Linked DNA regions of Canis lupus familiaris. The protein of the gene in region 1 interacts with the protein of each later gene in a pairwise test. Links are inferred from orthologs where the notes say so. Each region holds a gene or a part of one and is shown on either strand. Other genes may lie near its edges. The genes, in order: FCHSD2, ABCF3 and MTUS2.

What was found.
Region 2: the proteins of FCHSD2 (region 1) and ABCF3 interact in binary tests that used the Homo sapiens proteins (3 or more experiments, as listed by UniProt). The two-hybrid records come from large-scale screens. The link is inferred for Canis lupus familiaris from reciprocal best matches to the Homo sapiens genes FCHSD2 and ABCF3.
Region 3: the proteins of FCHSD2 (region 1) and MTUS2 interact in binary tests that used the Homo sapiens proteins (3 or more experiments, as listed by UniProt). The two-hybrid records come from large-scale screens. The link is inferred for Canis lupus familiaris from reciprocal best matches to the Homo sapiens genes FCHSD2 and MTUS2.

The regions. Positions count from the first base shown.
Region 1 is NC_049242.1:25,369,470-25,375,492, reverse strand, and holds part of FCHSD2 (F-BAR and double SH3 domains protein 2), read right to left. Parts: intron 4,737-6,023; coding exon 4,682-4,736; intron 3,854-4,681; coding exon 3,725-3,853; intron 1-3,724. UniProt on the Homo sapiens protein: Adapter protein that plays a role in endocytosis via clathrin-coated pits. Contributes to the internalization of cell surface receptors, such as integrin ITGB1 and transferrin receptor.
Region 2 is NC_049255.1:17,251,890-17,258,694, forward strand, and holds the start of ABCF3 (ATP-binding cassette sub-family F member 3), read left to right. Parts: upstream 1-2,585; 5' UTR 2,586-2,674; coding exon 2,675-2,747; intron 2,748-2,980; coding exon 2,981-3,128; intron 3,129-3,266; coding exon 3,267-3,346; intron 3,347-3,821; exon of another isoform or gene 3,822-3,854; coding exon 3,855-3,901; intron 3,902-4,099; coding exon 4,100-4,197; intron 4,198-4,296; coding exon 4,297-4,419; intron 4,420-4,617; coding exon 4,618-4,884; intron 4,885-5,198; coding exon 5,199-5,279; intron 5,280-5,369; coding exon 5,370-5,429; intron 5,430-5,559; coding exon 5,560-5,616; intron 5,617-5,725; coding exon 5,726-5,748; intron 5,749-5,854; coding exon 5,855-5,910; intron 5,911-6,027; coding exon 6,028-6,228; intron 6,229-6,332; coding exon 6,333-6,409; intron 6,410-6,805.
Region 3 is NC_049246.1:10,819,061-10,825,083, forward strand, and holds part of MTUS2 (microtubule-associated tumor suppressor candidate 2), read right to left. Parts: intron 5,351-6,023; 5' UTR 5,110-5,350; coding exon 2,872-5,109; intron 1-2,871. UniProt on the Homo sapiens protein: Binds microtubules. Together with MAPRE1 may target the microtubule depolymerase KIF2C to the plus-end of microtubules. May regulate the dynamics of microtubules at their growing distal tip.

The DNA.
Region 1 (6,023 bases):
GGAATACAAAATATTCATTGGGGAATCTAAGTATTTGTTTTTAGATACTGACATGATCTTACTCTTTGTAATAACTAGAACAGGGGAGAAATTGCAGTTTTAAATTATTAATTTTATTCTACAGTCCTCTCAGAATTTATGATATTCACAGTAGGCTACTACTAATTATATTCATTTTTATCATCAAGAAGATTGGAATGGAATGTAGGAAAAAAACATAGTGTAATATATAGTAAAGAACTCAGGCTCTGAAGACACAGAATTTTATTTAAGTCCTGGCTATTATATACATATTCACTGAACCTCACTGAGGCTCTGCTATCTGATTTGTAAAACAGGGATAATGATATTTAGCTCAAAAGGTGTTATGAAAACTAAATGAAAGAATGTATTTAAAGAATCTAGACAGAGTACCTGCCCATGTTAGCTCCCAACAGTTACTACACTCTAACTCTCAGGCATTTAAGGTCTCTTCTACACTTTTTTTCTACTTTTAACCTAAGAATACAACATTCAAGAAATGTAAGAAAGAAATTGAATAAACAGTTGTTTTGATCCTGAAAAGGCAGGAGGGAATGAGATATCCAAAACCCAGGTGAAAAGATCATCTTTAGATAGGAGGAACAACTCTTCTGTTGAGGTTCCTTGGAGGAATCTCGAACATACACGAAAGCAGATAATGAGAAAACAGTGGACTTTCCGATTAATGGCTTTTATTTTCTCTGTAAATTAGGAAGAAACCCACTTGCTAATGTGAAAGAGAAGAGGCAAATTTGAGGTTTGAGATGGAAAAACGTTGAAAAAAGTGCTAAAAATATTAGCAAAAGTGAACCAGGGAAACGTAGTAGATGTCTCACAGTGCTCAGGGTCTATCTGAGACTGGTTCCACATTAATTTATGAACATGAATGTGTTCTGTCTGTTCAAAGATTGTCTTCGGTAGTACCTGGCTACTTAGATGCAGGTACAAAGAAAGAGGTTATCTGGGTTTATCTTGAGTTGGAATTTCATTTATAGGCCAGAGTGCTATTTAAGCAAGGAACTATGAACTCTAACCAGGAAAAAAAATGATAAGGATAATAAACCTAAAGTGATTAGGATAATGCCAGAGTATAAGCAATGAAAAAAAAAAAAGGATAGGTATTAATATTACTAATTAGGGTCCTCTAGCAGTAATTTCATCATTCTAATTTGTAATCATTTCTATGTATTTCTCTCTTCCACCAGACAGAGCTCTTTGAGGATAAAGTGTCTTACTCATCCTTGCTTCTTCCCAAAGTGTAGTCTAGTACTTACCACACTGTAAGTGACTATTAAATGCATATGATTAAATCAATGAATCAAAATCTGCTTCCAAGCTATCCATATAACTTTTTTTTTAAAGATTTTTTTTTTTAAATGATAGAGAGAGAGAGAGAGAGAGAGAGAGAGAGAGGCAGAGACACAGGCAGAGGGATAAGCAGGCTCTATGCCAGGAGCCCGATGCAGAACTCGATCCCGGGACTCCAGGATCATGCCCTGGGCCAAAGGCAGGCGCCAAACCGCTGAGCCACCCAGGGATCCCCACATACAACTTTTTAAAAAGATTCTACCTAAGGTATTATAACTTTAGCAACAATTGAGAAAATAAGACATTTCTAAGAAAGGCCCTGAAGGGCCACTGTCCATTCAATGATAGAAACTTACTAAGTAGCTAACAATATGATTGATGACAGTTTTCCAATACTGCAGACTACAGAATTAACATAAGGAAGAAAATGAATTAATATACACACAACATGAAAACTGAGAATATTCTTGTCTGTTTTTAGGAGACAAAAGAGGACTCCTGTCTCTATTTTTATCATACCAGTACCTTGCAATGTCTCATGAAATGAGTAATCTGAAGCATAACATGCCCAATGCTGATCAAATATCTGCATTAAGACTTTGAAGCAAGTTCAAAAATATATAATCTGAGAGCTGGCCAGGCCCATTAACTCCCTTTTTGTTTCGGGCAGAGGGCACGAAATAATACCCAAAATAATACCTTTCCCAGTTTAATCAAAGACTACAGGGCTTTATTAAGAAATAATTCTTTTTTTGGCTCTGGATTCAATTTAAAAAACAGATTTTATTTTGGTTGCTGCCTCAACTATATGTTCAATTTAATGTATTGAAAGGGGAAATATATTGTTAACAGCTTTAACAGACAGTATACAGAGAATCACAACTTTAAGTGTGAGTTGTCTAAGACTGAGTATACATATATATTTCCCTAGAGAAACCACATTATAATGGGAGGCCAATTCTCTAGTTGGTTCTTATAAATCTGAAGCACCATGTAACACCTAATAAGGTACTAAAATGCCTAAACCTCTAGGTCCAACATATTAGGGGAAAATGTATGCTGAATTCTCATCTGGGGTGTCAAAACAATCCCCTGTCTCTCTTACCACGTGTACTCTAACCAGTAGAATTCTGAACAGGATAGAAGCTAGGAAAACAGGAGTTCAGGCAATATCGAAAAACGAAAGAAAAAATTTTGCAACTGGATACTCCTTAGCCCAGTTTGACGCTCTGTATCACTCCTGTTTTTCCCTGAAGATACCAGGAAATGTCCTGTCTACTTTTGAGGAAAGAACTTATATATTTTCTAGACAGAATTTATCTCTTTCCTAGAAGCCACAGTAGGAAAAAAGAGCACCTACTCCTGTTACATCCCCATTCTCAATGCTTACGGTTTGTAAAGCAATTAATTCAATTAATGTGTCTTGATAGTAAGAACAATCTGCTTGAAAAGGATGAGTTGAAAATACAAGAGAAAGATAAAATAATCAAATGTTTGGGTCCTCGAGAAGCCAGGAGAAAATGAGACACACTCTATGTAGAAATTGTATACCAGAAATGGGGGTAGCCCAGGTGGCTCTGCAGTTTAGTGCCGCCTTCAGCCCAGGGCGTGATCCTAGAGACCCGGCATCGAGTCCCACGTCAGGCTCCCTGCATGGAGTCTGCTTCTCCCTCTGCCTGTGTCTCTACCTCTCTCTCTCTCTCTCTCTGTGTCTCTCATGAATAAATAAATAAATAAAATCAAAAAAAAAAAAAAAAAGAAGAAGAAGAAGAAAGAAAAAGAAATTGTATACCAGAAATAGTGGAAATCTGGTAGTAGGTTATAAAGGTTTTCTTTTTCACCACTTTCCTTTTACTTCAGTGAAAAATAAAGATACATATATATGTATAAACAGACAAAAACCAATAATAAGTTTGAGTACCCAAGAAAGTGTAATATGATCTATCTATACTTCAGTGTTAACTACGGTAGAGACATTTTCATATAACTACTAAATATTTTCTCTTCTCATGGGTACCTCCAAAGCATAAAACATTAACGTACAAGTTTATATATCAATTAAAGATAAAATTATGAAATTAAAAAAAAATCTAAGCTTCAAAAAAATAATCCTATTTTCTATCTTATATATTGATAACCATTATACAGCAAATATCTGCCACTGCTAGAGACTAATATAGTTAGTCCTTTACTGTGATCTGGCTTTAAATACTTTCTTACATTAAGAATTAATTCAGAATTACCTGAAAGAGAAGTTACACAAACAATATTAACTTCAATGAACTACAAGGAAGCCTGGTTGCTCTTCTACAGAGTCTATCTATCTAATAGTCAACTCATGAGTTGTTTTTGTCTTTAATGAAACAAATGACCACAGATATAAAGGCTGTATTACCTTCATAATGTTAACTAAATCTGTTTGATAGTAGCGATCCTGGTGTGCATTTGCGGCTGCTAATGTAAGAAGGTAATCATTCCTTGCATGGGTAGCTTTAGAATTACATTCAGATCGCCGGGCTTTTAACTGAAACATAGTAATAAGAGAAAAAAATCATTGCAAACTGACATTGTACTGTATAATATATGAGGATACCATTTTTAGCTGGCAATTAATGGCTCCCTGACAAGAGGAAAGATAACCATGTGAATATTTATTCACATATAAAAATATTCATTACTATTTAGTTGAAGAATTACATGGTGAGAATGTTTTCACATATTTGTTATTTATACTTAACATACTCCCAAAGCTCCTCAGAAAACTTCAAAGTATTTTGCTCCTTTTATTCAGATGGGAAAATAAAGGCTCCCAAATTAAGTGCCTTTTCTTTAAAGACATGGGTAAATCTGTTGGAGTTAGAATATCTTTTTTAAAAAATTAGCACTCCTCATGTGCTAAAAGAACTTCATGCTAGTTAGAATCCTGGCAGATCGCTAAACTTACTTAACAGGTATTCTACAGCTTGAGGGTCCCAGAGGAAAAATCTCACTTGCATCTGATTCGGAATATCTGCTCAGTGGTGTAAATCTGAATGAAATAGATTCTGTAGATCTCTAAAGCCCATGGACTAGTCTTTTGGACTAAGAGTTATAGACAACAGACTACCTAAGCAGCTAAGATACAGATACCTATCTCTACCGCAATCTTGAGAAGCAAGCAGTACCCAAAGTGCTGACATCTAGGTGAAAAACTCATATGAATTGGGAAGGAAACTTCTTCTCTAAGTTAATGACTTAAAAATGTTTCTCTAAATTAGGTGGAAATAATTGCCTTCAACCCTCAAAAAAACCTCAATTCTTTCTTAATAAGCTAAGGTTTCTCAATTGTGAAATATAGTTTTCAAAAACTCACCTTTACACTTGCCTTCTGTAAACTGATTCTTGATTGAAAAAGGCTAAGTTTAGATCTATAATAAAACAAAATACAATATGTTTAATAAGTTATCAAATTACATCATATTAAACTTATTAAGTATAATTCCAAATTTTGGAATTTGGAACAGTGACACTGTTCCACAATGCTATTCCAAAAGAGAACTAAAAAATGGAAAACCAAGAGCAATGATTATTTTCCTTTATTTTACTATAGGAAGAATATTTCAGTGCAACAGGAAATATTGGGATATTTAATAAAAAATATTCTGAATGACAAAAATACAATTTGACAAATATATTGGTATCTCCTAATAAACAAGAGCCACCAAACTATAAGTTACTCTCTGTATCATATAATTACACACACTTTAGTTCCTACAAGAAAGCTTAAAGAAACCTAGGGATAACCAATCTATGGAGCCAAAAATTAGCAGGCTTTTAGGGCCATCTGCAATAGGACGTCACAACATCTGCAATTCAACCTACAGTATGATATTAGGCTCTTGAAAGCCCTTAATTCCATTATTTCTCCCATTAAATTTCTTCCTGTTTGGGTCCTTGTGTGCTCCCTCCAATTTTAACATACTACTTGAAACACAGTGAGAAAGTCCTTGGACTCTCTGCCCTATATGATTTTGTTCTGTTTAATCTTTTCCCATTCTGATGCCCTTATTTCCTCCAATCCCTTTCAGTTTGGGAAAGAAACCATAATCTAACAATCAAGAGTTAAAATATGCTGGTTTTACCCAAACAGCTAGAGATAACCAGAAGGAGAAAGTCAACAGACAAACAGTAAGGAATAACAACACTCTCACAACCAGTGATTTTTGAAGCTGCAATATTTGTCTTGACTGCAGTGTCATGGTGATTACCATGGGAGAATTCAGTTCATGTGCTGGAAGCTATGCCATAATACAAAGTAAAGCTGCAGACCACCTGGGAATGTAGGGTGGAACAAACAAGTCTCTGCAGAGCAAATTCAAGGAGGATAGCAAAAACAGCCTATCATCTTTCTAACAAAAGAGAAACAATCAGGGACATACACTAATGCATCCTAACTACTTCCCCACTGGTAAAAAAAAAAAAAAAAAGGAGTTCAATATACTCCTGTTATTTTCTACCTTGCCATATTCATATTTCCTGGGGGTTTTGTCTGTTTTTATTAATCAGATTCCTATTCATTTTGATCTAGAAAAGGCTACAAACTTTTAAATTTGAGAAAGCCTGTTCAAGATTAACAAAGACTGCTTGGGGTATTTTTAATTCTCTCTCTCTCTCCTCTCTCTCTCTCTTTTTTTGTAGTCATTATCCAAATAGTC
Region 2 (6,805 bases), on another chromosome or scaffold:
ACGGATCCCCAGCCCTCAATCCCTATTCTGCTTTGGGATAGTGTGAGCTTCATTTTGTACACGTGTGACTTCGTCCAGTTATAAACCCAATAAACTCTGTAGAGCGGAGTTGCTAAGTGTTCTTGCGGGAGCTTGATGGGGAGGGGAACTGATGGTATTTCTCTTCCCAGATCTTATGCTGCCTGCTATGAGTAGAAGTTTATATTCTGAACTCTCTTAAGGCTCTTCTCTTGTCATGTCTCAACTGTTAGGCCCCTTGAGGTCATCCAAGCCTTTATCCTGACTGGTGTTACCCCCGGTCTCCTGTCTCCCCTCCCCCCGCAAAACACAATCTGAAGGGCAAGCAGCTCCACCTGGTCCCAGTTCCCAGAGAGTGGAGATTCTTTTCCTCATTCACTTTCAGTTTTAGGCAGGTATTTTCTTTTTCTCCTTTTTTTTTTTTTTTAAGATTTTTATTTATTTATTCATGAGAGACACAGAGAGGCAGAGGCATAGGCAGACCCTGAGCCAAAGGCTGATGCTCAACCGCTGAGCCACCCAGATGTCCCTAAGCAGGTATTTTTTAATTAGAGATTGAGCAAGGTTTACATTTGTTTTTATTTTTCCCACCGTCCTAAGAAACTGACCTCTCAGTTCTGTCCTCTTCCCTATTACTCAAGCTTTCCAAACATTGGTGAGTGGGTGATAAAAGGGATTCTCCTTTCTATAACTTCCCTGTCCAAAGAATTTTGTGATAAGCTTGTTCTTACAGGGAATATTCCATGCCCTGCTGTGTGTTGGAGCAGATAAAAGCAAATTTGCTGTCATCATCTTTCCCTTGTTTGGCTCCAACTGTTTTAAACCTTAAAAAAATCTATTAGAGAAAATTTCAAATATAAATAGAAGTATCAAGATCCAGTGAACCTTCAGGTCCTGTCATTCAATTTTAACAATTATCAACTCATGGCACACTTAAGAGTCCTGTGGAATTTTTTACAACTTGCATCTGGATCTAAAGGTCCATTGTGGTCAGTGAATGCAATCTATCTAATCTAGGTATCTTTATCTATCTATCTATCTATCTATCTATCTATCTATCTATCTATCTATCTATCTATCTATCATCTATTTGAGGAAGGGAGCAGGAAAGGGGCAGAGGGAGAGTGGAGAGGCTCTTAATCAGGCTCCTTGCCCAGCGTGGAGCACAATGTGGGACTCAATCTCATGATCCTAAGATCAAGACCTAAGTGGAAATCATGAATCCAACACTTAACCAGCTGAGCCACCCAGGCACCCCTCTCACTTTTTAAATCTTATAAACCATAGGTTCTACTACCCTTCAGCTCTTGGAATACTGTTGAAGAAGCCATCATTTGTAGTTTCCCCATCAGAATTCCTTTCTATCGCCCATAAAGTGGTTGCTAGATCTAGTAGCTTAGCTTTTTAAGCTTTGTTTTTTAAAGTTTTATTTTTTTAATTAATTAATTTATTTATGATAGTCACACACAGAGACATAGGCAGAGGGAGAAGCAGGCTCCCTGCACCGGGAACCCGACATGGGATTCGATCCCAGGTCTCCAGGATCGCGCCCTGGGCCAAAGGCAGGCGCCACACCGCTGCGCCACCCAGGGATCCCTTAAAGTTTTATTTAATTTCTACATCCACTATGGGGCTCAAACTCACAACCCTGAAATCAAGAGTCGCATGCTTCTCGGACTGAGCAAGTCAGGCCCCTCAGCTTTTTAAATAGTTGGACTGAATCTTCTCAATGGCAAAAGGATAATAGACCTTAGGTGAAAATCTTAGAGCTAGGTTACGGTAAATGTAAATGTCACGTTAAATGTAAAGCAGCGTCATTTGGGGGAAATTCCTAACTTCTAGAGGGAATCCGTGAAACAAAGTAGCTCTATACGCTCGCTTACTGAGCTTACTGGTGCCGAGAAGTCTGTTTTGAGTGAGTAGGAACGGAATAAATACCAATGAATTTGCACTGGCGGATCTCATTTTCTTGCCCTTTGGCGCTAAGTGAGCTTGTGCCCTTGGGCGACGTTAGGACTGCCGAACTGTCAGGGGTGATGAGGCTGGCCACACGGATACTAGAAGCCCGGTCCGCAGGTCCCGGGGCCCAGAACAAAACCGGTGGGCCGCCAGAACTGCGCAGCGGACTTCAGACAGCTTAGAGACGAGCATGAGTCAGCAAAGCTCTCGGTGGCCCCCAAAACCGGCCAGCTGGGCGCGATGAGACAGACGCGCTTAAGGGAATGCAGAGGATCTAGCGAGACCCGTGCGCATTATCAACCGCCCGACTCTTGGGAGGTTCCCGCCCGCCGGACCATCAGTGTATCGCGCCCTGATAAGCCGCGAGCTCCCGTGCACCCCGCCCCCGCCGCCGCCGCCTCTCGGAACTCTGCCTCCCAGAAGGCAGCGAGAACCGCACATGTGGCTAATTTTTCAGCGGAAACAGCGTTGCGCAAGCGCAGAGAGAGAAGCTCTAGCGTAGGCTCTGAGTGGCGCTTGCGCACGGTTCCCCCAGCCCCGTCCACCCGGTCCACGGGGTTCCGGGCACTCCGCGCCTTTCTTACGTCATCACCACGCATGCGCTTTGGAAGGAGAGGCGAGCTCTTGGGAGACCGGCGGGAGGCGCGTCTGGGCTGCGGTCTAACTGCGCCTGCGCGGACGGGAGCCCGACCGGAACATGGCGACTTGCGCTGAAATCCTGCGGAGCGAGTTCCCCGAAATTGACGGACAGGTCTTCGACTACGTGACGGGTGAGCCGAACCGGATCCGTGCGCTGGCGAAGCCGAGATGGAAACCAGTGGGAGAAAGACTGAGGGAGGGTGGTGCCGGGGACCGCTGCTAGGCCTCTCCTCTGCGTGACCTCTCGTCCAGAGGGCCGGTTAGGTCTGGAGCCCGGACCGGGGCCTTGCGTGGCTCGGGGACTAAAACCGCTTGTATGTCCGCCCTTCCCTGTATCTTCCTTGACCCGCCATGCCCGGCCCAGGCGTCCTGCATAGCGGCAGCGCGGATTTCGAGTCTGTGGATGACCTGGTGGAAGCGGTGGGGGAACTGTTGCAGGAGGTGTCCGGGGACAGCAAGGATGACGCGGGTATCCGGGCTGTGTGCCAGCGCATGTACAACACTTTGCGCCTGTACGTGCCAGGGTAGGGGGGCTCGTGGGGGCGGTGGGAAGGTGGACGGTCAAGAGACAAGACGTAAGGGAAGAAGATCTGGTGGCCGCAGAGCTTTTTATTCAGTTCCTGACTGCACTTTCTGTTCCTGCCCTTAAGGGATGAGCCTCAGACCCAGGGAAACAGCCAGGTGCTACTAGACGCCCCCATCCAGTTGTCAAAGATAACAGAAAACTACGGTGAGACTGAGGGAAGACTGAACTAGCTGCTCTCCGCCTTTGTCTCAGCCTCCACCCCCCACCCAGGCAGCTATCCCCTGGAACCCAGGACTCTTGGTACCCCTTTTCCTCACAAGAAGGATGTAGTAGCTAGTTGACGTTTTCACTGAGGGCAAAGAAGGCCACTAATAAAGGGAGTAGGGCTGGAGAGTTCTCCAAGCTATTAGGTGGGGTAGGAAGCTTATGGGCCTTGGAGCTGGACCGACTTAGGTTTATTTCCCAATTTTGTGACTTTCTAATCAGCTGCACGAGCTTCTAAGAGTTGCTTATCAGCCCCAGTCTCTGTATTCTCAATCTGGGAGGTGTTTTTTATTTTCATTTTTGAAGTATGGGGCAGATGATAGCTATTTCTGGGATTGTGAGACTTTCCTTGAAATGTCTGTGTCTGTGCCTGCTTCATATTAGTTACTCAAAATGTTAGTTTCCCTTCCCTCAGGGAGAAGGTGACTGCTTTTCTTATCGCTTACAGACTGTGGCACCAAACTTCCAGGACTGCTAAAGAGGGAACAGTCCTCGGTGAGGAGGAGGAGGAGGAGGAAGAAGGGGGGGGGGGTCTCTGGTAGGGGTGAAGGTTGACTGTAAATACTGGAGGATCTTTCTGGGGGGTTTCTGATTATGTCTTTCCCTGAAAGCAGGGTGACTTAAGATGCTCTTTCTGGGGCTCCTTTCTGAGCCTACAACCTAGGCTGAAATGGTTGTGTTTGGACCTTTAAGACAGTGAATGCAAAGAAGCTAGAGAAGGCTGAGGCTCGACTGAAGGCAAAGCAGGAGAAGCGCTCAGAGAAGGACACACTTAAGACCAGCACTCCTCTGTGAGTTGAGCAAGAAGGGCTGAGAAGAGAATAGAGCAGTCTGTTGGAATGGAAGGGTGGCTGGGAGTGCTAAAAGCCATCCATTTCTCTCTTTGAAAGAGTCTTGGAAGAGGCATCAGCCAGCCAGGCAGGCAGCAGAAAGGAGAGTCGGTTGGAATCATCTGGCAAGAACAAATCATATGATGTGCGAATCGAGAACTTTGATGTGTCTTTTGGTGATAGGTGAGGGAGTGGCAGTGTGTGTGGGGGGGCAGGGGGGTGCACTTTTCTTTTTCCAATTAAAAGAATTTGGACAGATGAAACAGGGTTAAAATAACATTAGGTTTTGTGGTTAAATTTGCTATATACCTGTCTCTAGAGCAGCACCCTTTGTCTTGTTCCTCTAGAGCAGCATCCTTTGTCTTGTTCCTACCCCTGCAGGGTACTATTGGCTGGAGCAGATGTGAACCTGGCATGGGGCCGCCGCTATGGGCTGGTGGGGCGAAATGGGCTGGGGAAGACGACACTCCTGAAGATGTTGGCCACTCGGAGCCTGCGAGTTCCAGCCCACATTTCCCTACTGCACGTGGAGCAGGAGGTTGCTGGAGATGACACTCCTGCCCTGCAGAGTGTGCTAGAAAGTGACACTGTAAGAGAGGACCTTCTGCAGAGGGAGCGGGAGCTCAGCGCACAGATTGCTACTGGCAGGTAAGCACTCCAGGTGGGGAGCACCTGGCATCCATGGCTCTTCTTTGCAGAGTACCTGTCATACTGCCACAATCCATAACTTGCACGCTCATCTTAGCAGCAGAACTTAGAACTTGGCACCGTGGAGCTATAAAGCCCTGTTCCTTCCACAGTGCCCACTGCCCTCACTGACTTGAACAGGTGCTTCCTGTAGTCTGTTCCTGTCCTGGCAACAGGCAGTCAGTGGTCTGCTTTCTAACTGCGTAGACTATGGGGCATTCCACCTAGAGTGCCCCCATTCAGGCTGAGTGCTCTTTTTCCCATCCCCACTTTAGGGCTGAGGGCTCAGAAGCTGCACAGTTGGCAGAAATATATGCCAAATTGGAGGAGATTGAGGCTGACAAGGCACCTGCCAGGTATTTAAGATTTCCCCTTCCCTCTTTCAGATTTTACCTTTCCCTTCTGTTACATGTTTCAACCAGGTTCTTCAATCTCTTCACTTCTAGGGCATCAGTCATTCTTGCTGGGCTTGGCTTTACCCCTAAAATGCAGCAGCAGCCCACCCGGTGAGTGGCCCTTGCCATTCTTGGCCATGAACACTGTTGGCTCTGTCTCTACCTATCCTGGTGAACACCTATCCCTGATGTGATCTCTGTTTTTTGTTTTGTTTTGTTTTGTTTTGTTTTGTTTCTTTAGAGAGTTCTCAGGTGGTTGGAGGATGCGACTGGCCCTGGCCCGGGCTCTGTTTGCTAGGTGAGTCTCCTGGGCCTATTGTGGATACTGTGGAGGATGGGCCTTGGCTCATGGGAGGTCACAAGCTGCTGACCTAAGACCTCAAGGCTTACATTCTTCTTTTCTATAGGCCAGATCTTCTTCTGTTAGATGGTGAGTTTGAAATGGGGCACCTTGACTTTGGGATGGGGAAGGATGGAAATATTCAGTCAGGTTCTACAGCTCTTCATCCCAAATGTATCCTCCCACACTTTTCCAGAACCCACAAACATGCTGGATGTAAGGGCCATCCTGTGGCTGGAGAATTACCTGCAAGTGAGTGCCTAGAGATGCTAGAGTAGGTCTAGGGAAGGTCTGCCTCTAAGACACTGGGGCGGGGGCTGAAAGATGACTGCCATCTCAAACTGGGCCTGCCATCCTGTGACCCCTCAGACATGGCCCTCTACAATCCTGGTCGTCTCCCACGACCGCAACTTCCTGAATGCCATAGCCACAGACATCATCCACCTGCACAGCCAGCGGCTAGATGGCTACCGGGGAGACTTTGAGACCTTCATCAAGAGCAAGCAGGAGCGGCTGCTCAACCAGCAGCGTGAATATGAGGCACAGCAGCAGTATCGCCAGCATATCCAGGTATATGGGACAGGCAGGGCGGGGGAGGGGGGCCCATCCCATGGGTGTTAGAGTTTGCAGGAATGTTGGGAACCTGACCAGTGCCTAAATTTATCCACCCACAGGTTTTCATTGACCGGTTTCGCTACAATGCCAACAGAGCCTCTCAAGTGCAGAGTAAACTTAAGATGCTGGAGAAGCTGTAAGTAGGGTCCCTTGACCAGGCCCTGACTTCTGTTCTCTTAATTTCTTCTCTTGTTTTGCAGGGCACTCCTTGTCCTCCCATTCTAGATCTCCCTTTTTCTAGAAACCAGCTTTAGTCTCCTCTCCAACAGGAAAGCAGAGCATTTTATACTATTGTTGGAAATTAGTATTGCTCCCCACAGGCCTAGGCAATCACTAGTTTACTTTCTCTAATCTATTTGCTTATCCTGGACGTTTCATATAAACAGAATCCTATGACGATGTTTTGTGCCTGACTTATTTTACTTAGCATAATGTTTTTGAGGTTCCTTCATGTTGTAGCACATATCAGTACTTCCTTTCTTTGTAATATTTCATTGTAAGGACATACAGCAGTTTGTCCATTGCTTCGTAA
Region 3 (6,023 bases), on another chromosome or scaffold:
ACTGTCGCCCCCACCAATGGGGCCTCTCCAAACCTCTCAGAACTACTAACACCACAGAAGCATTCACACTGTCCCATTTCTCTGAGACTCAAGTAGCTGCTAGAGGATTAAGAATAGGAAATACTTGGGGGAAAAGTATACATAAAACTTAGAAATTATTCTGTTTATTTTTAAAAGACAGAGAGAGAGAGAGAGAGTGAGTGAGTACAAACAGGGGGAGCAGCAGAGGGAGAGGGAATCCATAGGCTCAATCCCAGGACTCTCAACTGACTGAACCACCCTGGTGCTCCAAAATTATTCTATATTTTATGGATGGAGCAGAAACAATACAGAAAAGACATACACAAAACCAAAATCAGTAAGGGTCACAGAGAAAGAACTGCAGATGGTAACAAGATGTGTGCCGACATGTCCACATAAAATTTCTCTTGTGAATGCATTATTGCAGAGAAAAATCTAGGGGATCTTTTGGGGGGGTGGGGGAAGGAACCAAATTAATTTATTTGAAGGAATGGTACAAATGAAAGAACTTAGGTGGGCGTGTTGGTACAAGTTATAGAAAAGGTAAAGGTAACTCCAATGTGCTTGGTAACCAGGGGAGTCATCCTAGTGGCTATAGGGAAGCCAGCTGAGGGTTAGCTCTCATCACTGTCTCCCTGGGTGTGCTTGTCAGAGAGATACTCTATCATGCCAGATTTGAGGGCCTAATCTTGCACAAATTGGTTCCTTCTGCAGTGATTCAATGAGAAGAAAGAGAGTCTGGTTATTTAACCAGCTTTGGTCCTAGCAGCCCTGGGGAGGATAAGATGTCTGCCTTTTAAAGGCCTCACAAGGAGCACCCCAGCCTTAGCAAAGAGCCTAAAGAGAGCCTGATCCTTAGCCTTGGAGGTCGTGGTTAAGGTTTTAGAAATTTGAGAAAAACTCACATTAACCAAGCTCAGAGACTGATGTATAAGACCAGAATGGCAACCTGTCCACTGTGTGACATGCCACTGCCTACACAGCCAGACCCTTCATGTCCTTTGGCCAGAACATCCTTTTGCTGCAGGCCCTTATGTGAGAAGCCCACATAAAACAGGACAGCATGCAGCCCTGTATGGCGAAATGAGCCCCTGCCAAAAAGACTGAGTCCCCAGACTCTCCAGTTAGTGTTCTCTCTGCAGAGATGAGAGGTGGGAAGCCTCTCTCCAGCAGGCCCGGAGTCAGAGACAGCGAGGGAGCTGTGTGATCTAGAGCTCACAGACTGCCCCAGGGCAAAACAGATGATCAGCTGCTGGGGCAAGTGAGTGCTAGCCTTGGGCAAGATCTGCTGCTTAGAATAGATTCACCTCTTTTGCTGTGTAAGAGCTGACAACTTCTAGTGTAATAAGTACACTCTGTAAATATGTCAGTATATTCAATCAACCTAAGGTCCAACTTTGGACTTAGGTTTTCTATCTCTCAGAAGCTTCAGTTGCCTTTTGTTTGGAGCCAACATACACGAGTTCTTAATTCTGCTGTCATTCAACATTTACTGACGACGTATTTATGTCAAACACTGTTCTAAACTCTGGGGACCCAGCAGAGAACAACAAAACAAACAAACAAAAAAAAAACAGAAAAAAATTCCCTGTTCTCATGGATTTTACATTCTAGTTGATGCACCAAAAACAGAAAAAGTATATACACCAGATGGAGATAAGCACTAAGAAAAAAATCAACAAGGAAAGGGGTCTCAGAGAAGGTGAGGTGTCTCTCCAATGAAGTGACACTTGAACAGAAATAGAAAATAAAGGTGACAGCCACTGAGATATCTGGAAGAAGAAAATTCTAAACACAAGGAAGTGCAAAGATCCTGAGGCAGAAGAGGGAGAGGAGGTGAGCCAAGGAAGGAGAGGGGGTTGGGGAGGTTAGAGAGACAGACTGAGTCCATTCTAAAAGCTGAGCCTTCCTACATGCTTAAGCTTGTGTTCTGAGTGGCCTGGCTGACCTGAAGGATGTTAGGGAGAGGAGTGATCTGACCTGGCTTTCCTTCCAACTGAACACTTGCCTAGCTGCCATGAGGAGGTTGCTTTGGGAGACAAACCTACTTTCTGAGCTCTGGGAGGACAACTTACCACAGCACCCAGTAATGTAAAGGACAGCCCAGTCACAAAATTGGGAGGACATAGAAGAACATCTCCACACTATCCTTGTTCTGTGGCTTTAACTGAGTTACATAAATCCCTCCAAAGCTGTTTCTTCATCTAGACAATGATAAAAACTATAATCTCAACCTCCAGAAAATCACTACAAGGACTAGTGAAGATAGATAAAGATGAAATGTTATGTTGTGTGGGCTTGAAGCATAGTAGGTGCTCAACTAAATGTCAGTTGTAATTATTATTTTGACTCAAAACAAAGAGCCCATGCCTAACACATTATTTGCTACCCACTGTGTTTTTCCCATGTATGAATATGAATATCTTTCCATAAAGAAAATATTCCCCCTGAGAACATGAAGTCAGACCACTTTGAACAATATATTTATTTTGGACTTACCCTCCTCTCCTCACTGATCTGGTTTATACAAGACTTATGCTCACTTAAACATGGAAGCCAATTTAAGTGCATACTTAATTAACCTCACATGTATTATACTGAGTGGAATTTAAATGAGTCTCCTTAGATGTCAGCTGTACCTCACCACGATCATCACACTCTCTTCATCAAAAATGTCCATTTGTCCACAAGCTCCTCCCTCTAGTTAAGAACATCCATTTCTGTGCCAGTGGATTCATCAAAATCTGCAATTTGCTAAGGGAGGACATTGTGTTCACAGTTCCCAAAGAAAACACCTACAAACTTTACAGTGTTTAACTTAAAGATCATATCACAATGACAATCTCTTACCTCCTGTAAAAACTTTTCACTCATCTGACTGAAATGGTGCCCTGGGGGCTTGATCCCAGACACCATCAACCCAGAACTGAACACTCGTGGCTTTTGCAAGTCCGGCTTGTATTTCTCATAGAGACTGGCAGGCGGCTTTAGCTCACCACTTGCTGCCTTCTCCTCTTTGGGAAGAGGCATGGCACATGTGGGTGGAGCATAAGGAAGCCCCACTGGAAGCAGTGAAGTGTCCACTTGGCCGAGGGCCTGAGGACTCCTCCGGATGTAGGTGATGATCTTGGGCCTCACATGCTTGGGCTTGGGCAGAATGATGGGCTTGGGTTCTGTCCTCTCTTCTACTTTTTCAACCTGGTGGTTCTCCACTCCCTCCTGTGAGGAAGGGGTGTCCTCAGGATGCAGGAAGACAGGCTCAGGGATCCCACTGGGGCAGGTGCTCTTGTCAGGCACTTTCAGGGGGGTGTTCAACAACCATGCACTGTCAGTGGGGGGTGCAGTGGCTGAGGGTGACCTGGCATCTGCACCCAATGCGTCTAGGTCCTGAACACCGCCACTAGGTGGTGGAGGCTGGTGGGTCACATTCACAGTTGTCTCTGGATGGAAGGGTGCCGGGCCACTGAGAAGAGCCCCTGCTCTCCCCAGGGTGCTTTCAGTCTCAGTTGCCTTTTCTAGAATGTTCCTATCTTCTGCGACAGATGTCGTGCTCTCTTTGTGGTCACCTACTTCTGGGCTGCTGCTTTGAGGGCCAAGGGGCTCAGGGACCCCCGGGCTGTTCTCTCCAACAGAAGGGTCTGAACCACAAGCCGCAGCACTGACTACGTTCCCACTGTCCAGTACTCTCTCCTCACTGACATCTGAGGGCCTGCTGTCAGGTAGGTCATAGGGAATAAAAGATACATGCCCATCACCTGACGAAATGCTGCCAGACGCCACTTCATCCAACTTCCTAGCTGTGCTTGCTGAAATGCTGCCAGAGGGCTGCTTATCAGCAGCTGCCAAGGAAGCAGGGCCTTGCGTGGGGGTGGTCTGGAGAGAATCCTCCTCACCCAGGTGGCCTGCTCTCTTGTCTTGCTCACTCCTGCCTCTTCCCACACCAATGGGGTGCACACTGCTGTGTGACAGGCTACGTGCCCCGGTGGCAGCCTCCTGCTGTGCTTTCCCACCTGGATCCTTTCTTTCGAGGGGTAACATGCCACCTTCCTTTGGGCACCCCAGACACTCGGCCTGGATTGCCTTGAACTCCTGCACAGCCCTGGCTTGGACAAATTTCAGCTCCGGCTTGAGCTCTCCCTTCCCCTGACCTAATTGTGCTTCTGGCTTCCTCAGGACCCCCTTCAGTGCTGAGGCTGAATCCAGACCAGGCTCTGGATGGGCAGAATGTGATGTGCTCTCATTGCTCAAGTCTGGGCCCTGTGCCCTCTCCCTCTGGGTCTCTACAGGGGTGGTCTCCTTGGTTGCTGAGGTAGATGGTTTAGGATGACACACGCTCTTTCCTTCTGAGGTACTGTCAGCTGGAGGAGAAGCTGCTCCTCGAGAGGGGGCTGTCAACATCTTCTGTGGCCCCTCCCTGCCACTGGGCTCAGGACGCAGGGCTTCAGGGGAGTCCAGTGGCGCAGGCTGCAGACGCTGCCAGGTCAGGCTCCCACCAAGGCTTCCACCGTGCTCCTTCATGGGAACATCTGCTACAACGGCAGAGCTGCTCGCTCTTTCCAAAGAATGCCTTCGCAATTCCTCATTGTCAAGGGTCTTTGCCAACTTATCCTTAGGAGCATGCCGGGGAAGTTCAGCATCCCTTTTAGCCAAAACCTCTGGACTGGCCTCAGCCATAACATTCCTCCAAGTTGACAGACTTGGTCCCTGAACACTGCGAGGGGTCTGGAGGATATCTGTGCCTCTCTCCGTTGTGTGCTCGTCATGTAGTCCTCCGTGGACGGTCAGGGAAAATTTAAAATCTTTCAGACTGGTAGGGCCAGCCTGCGATCCTTTCCCAAAGCCCTGAAATTGGTGAAATTCCTTATTGAAATGGGTACTATTCTCTGGCTCGCTTGAATTTGCATTTCCAATTTCATCTGTCAGGTCACGTGTCTCGGACTCATCATGAGAGGAACTGACCTCCAACATGATTTGATTGGCATTTGTATCCCCCAGACTTAGGATACTCTCATTATTATTTTTCACTCCATTTCTGTTGTCCCGCAACTGAGCGTAACATGATTTCTTCGGAGCCACTGGGACACTCATTTTCAACCCTTCAGTGGGGGCTGCTGGCCATGCAGTCCTACCTAATGGAAAGAAGTTTCCTTCAAGGCTATTTGATTAATGGGAAATTCTCAAGCTGCTTCTTGCCCCCTGACAATGTCACATTGCAATACCACTTTAATCATTTTCAGAGCAGTCTTAAAACCAAGCATTGTCTTGACATACAGCAGGATGACTTATCTGTTAGGTTCCTGCTGAATGAGAGCCAATTAGTCCATAAGACCTAGAGAAAAATAAAAATAAAATCATGTTATTGGCACTGACAAATAGAGGTTCTCAGGAGAAAAAAGCATGGAAAATACAGATTTATTCATAATTTTCATATTATTATTTCATTCACTCAGTCCATAAATTTCTCCGAAACCTTTCTGATAGTGTGCCTGCTGGCCAACTATGGAGAAATTAAAACATAAAATGATTAATGTTAGAAATGGATTATAAAACATATTAAATCTTAAATTCAAATTTAAAATATCCACAGGTTCATACTTATACTGATATAAAAGGCTGGAGGAGAAGGAAAAGTTCTTCTTCACAGAATAATACCAACTAACATAAGAAAAATCATACCGTTAGAAAAAAAGTCACCATTTTGTAATCACCAAAGTAATAATTATCTTGCAACCAATGGCTGTGAAAAACATCAGGTGAATGATTGTTGGGGAACAGGATATTCACAGAATCCTAAGGTACCATTCTCCAGATTATTTATTATTTTTCAGAGAGAAAGAGAGAGAGAAAGCAGGTGCACATGAGCTGGGAGTGGGGGACGGGTAGAGGGAGAGGGAGAAAGAGAATCTTGAGCAGGCTCCATGTTCAGCAGGCAGCCTGATGCAGGGCTCAATCTCACAACCCTGAAATCATGACCTGAGCCGAAATCAAGAGCTGGATGCTCA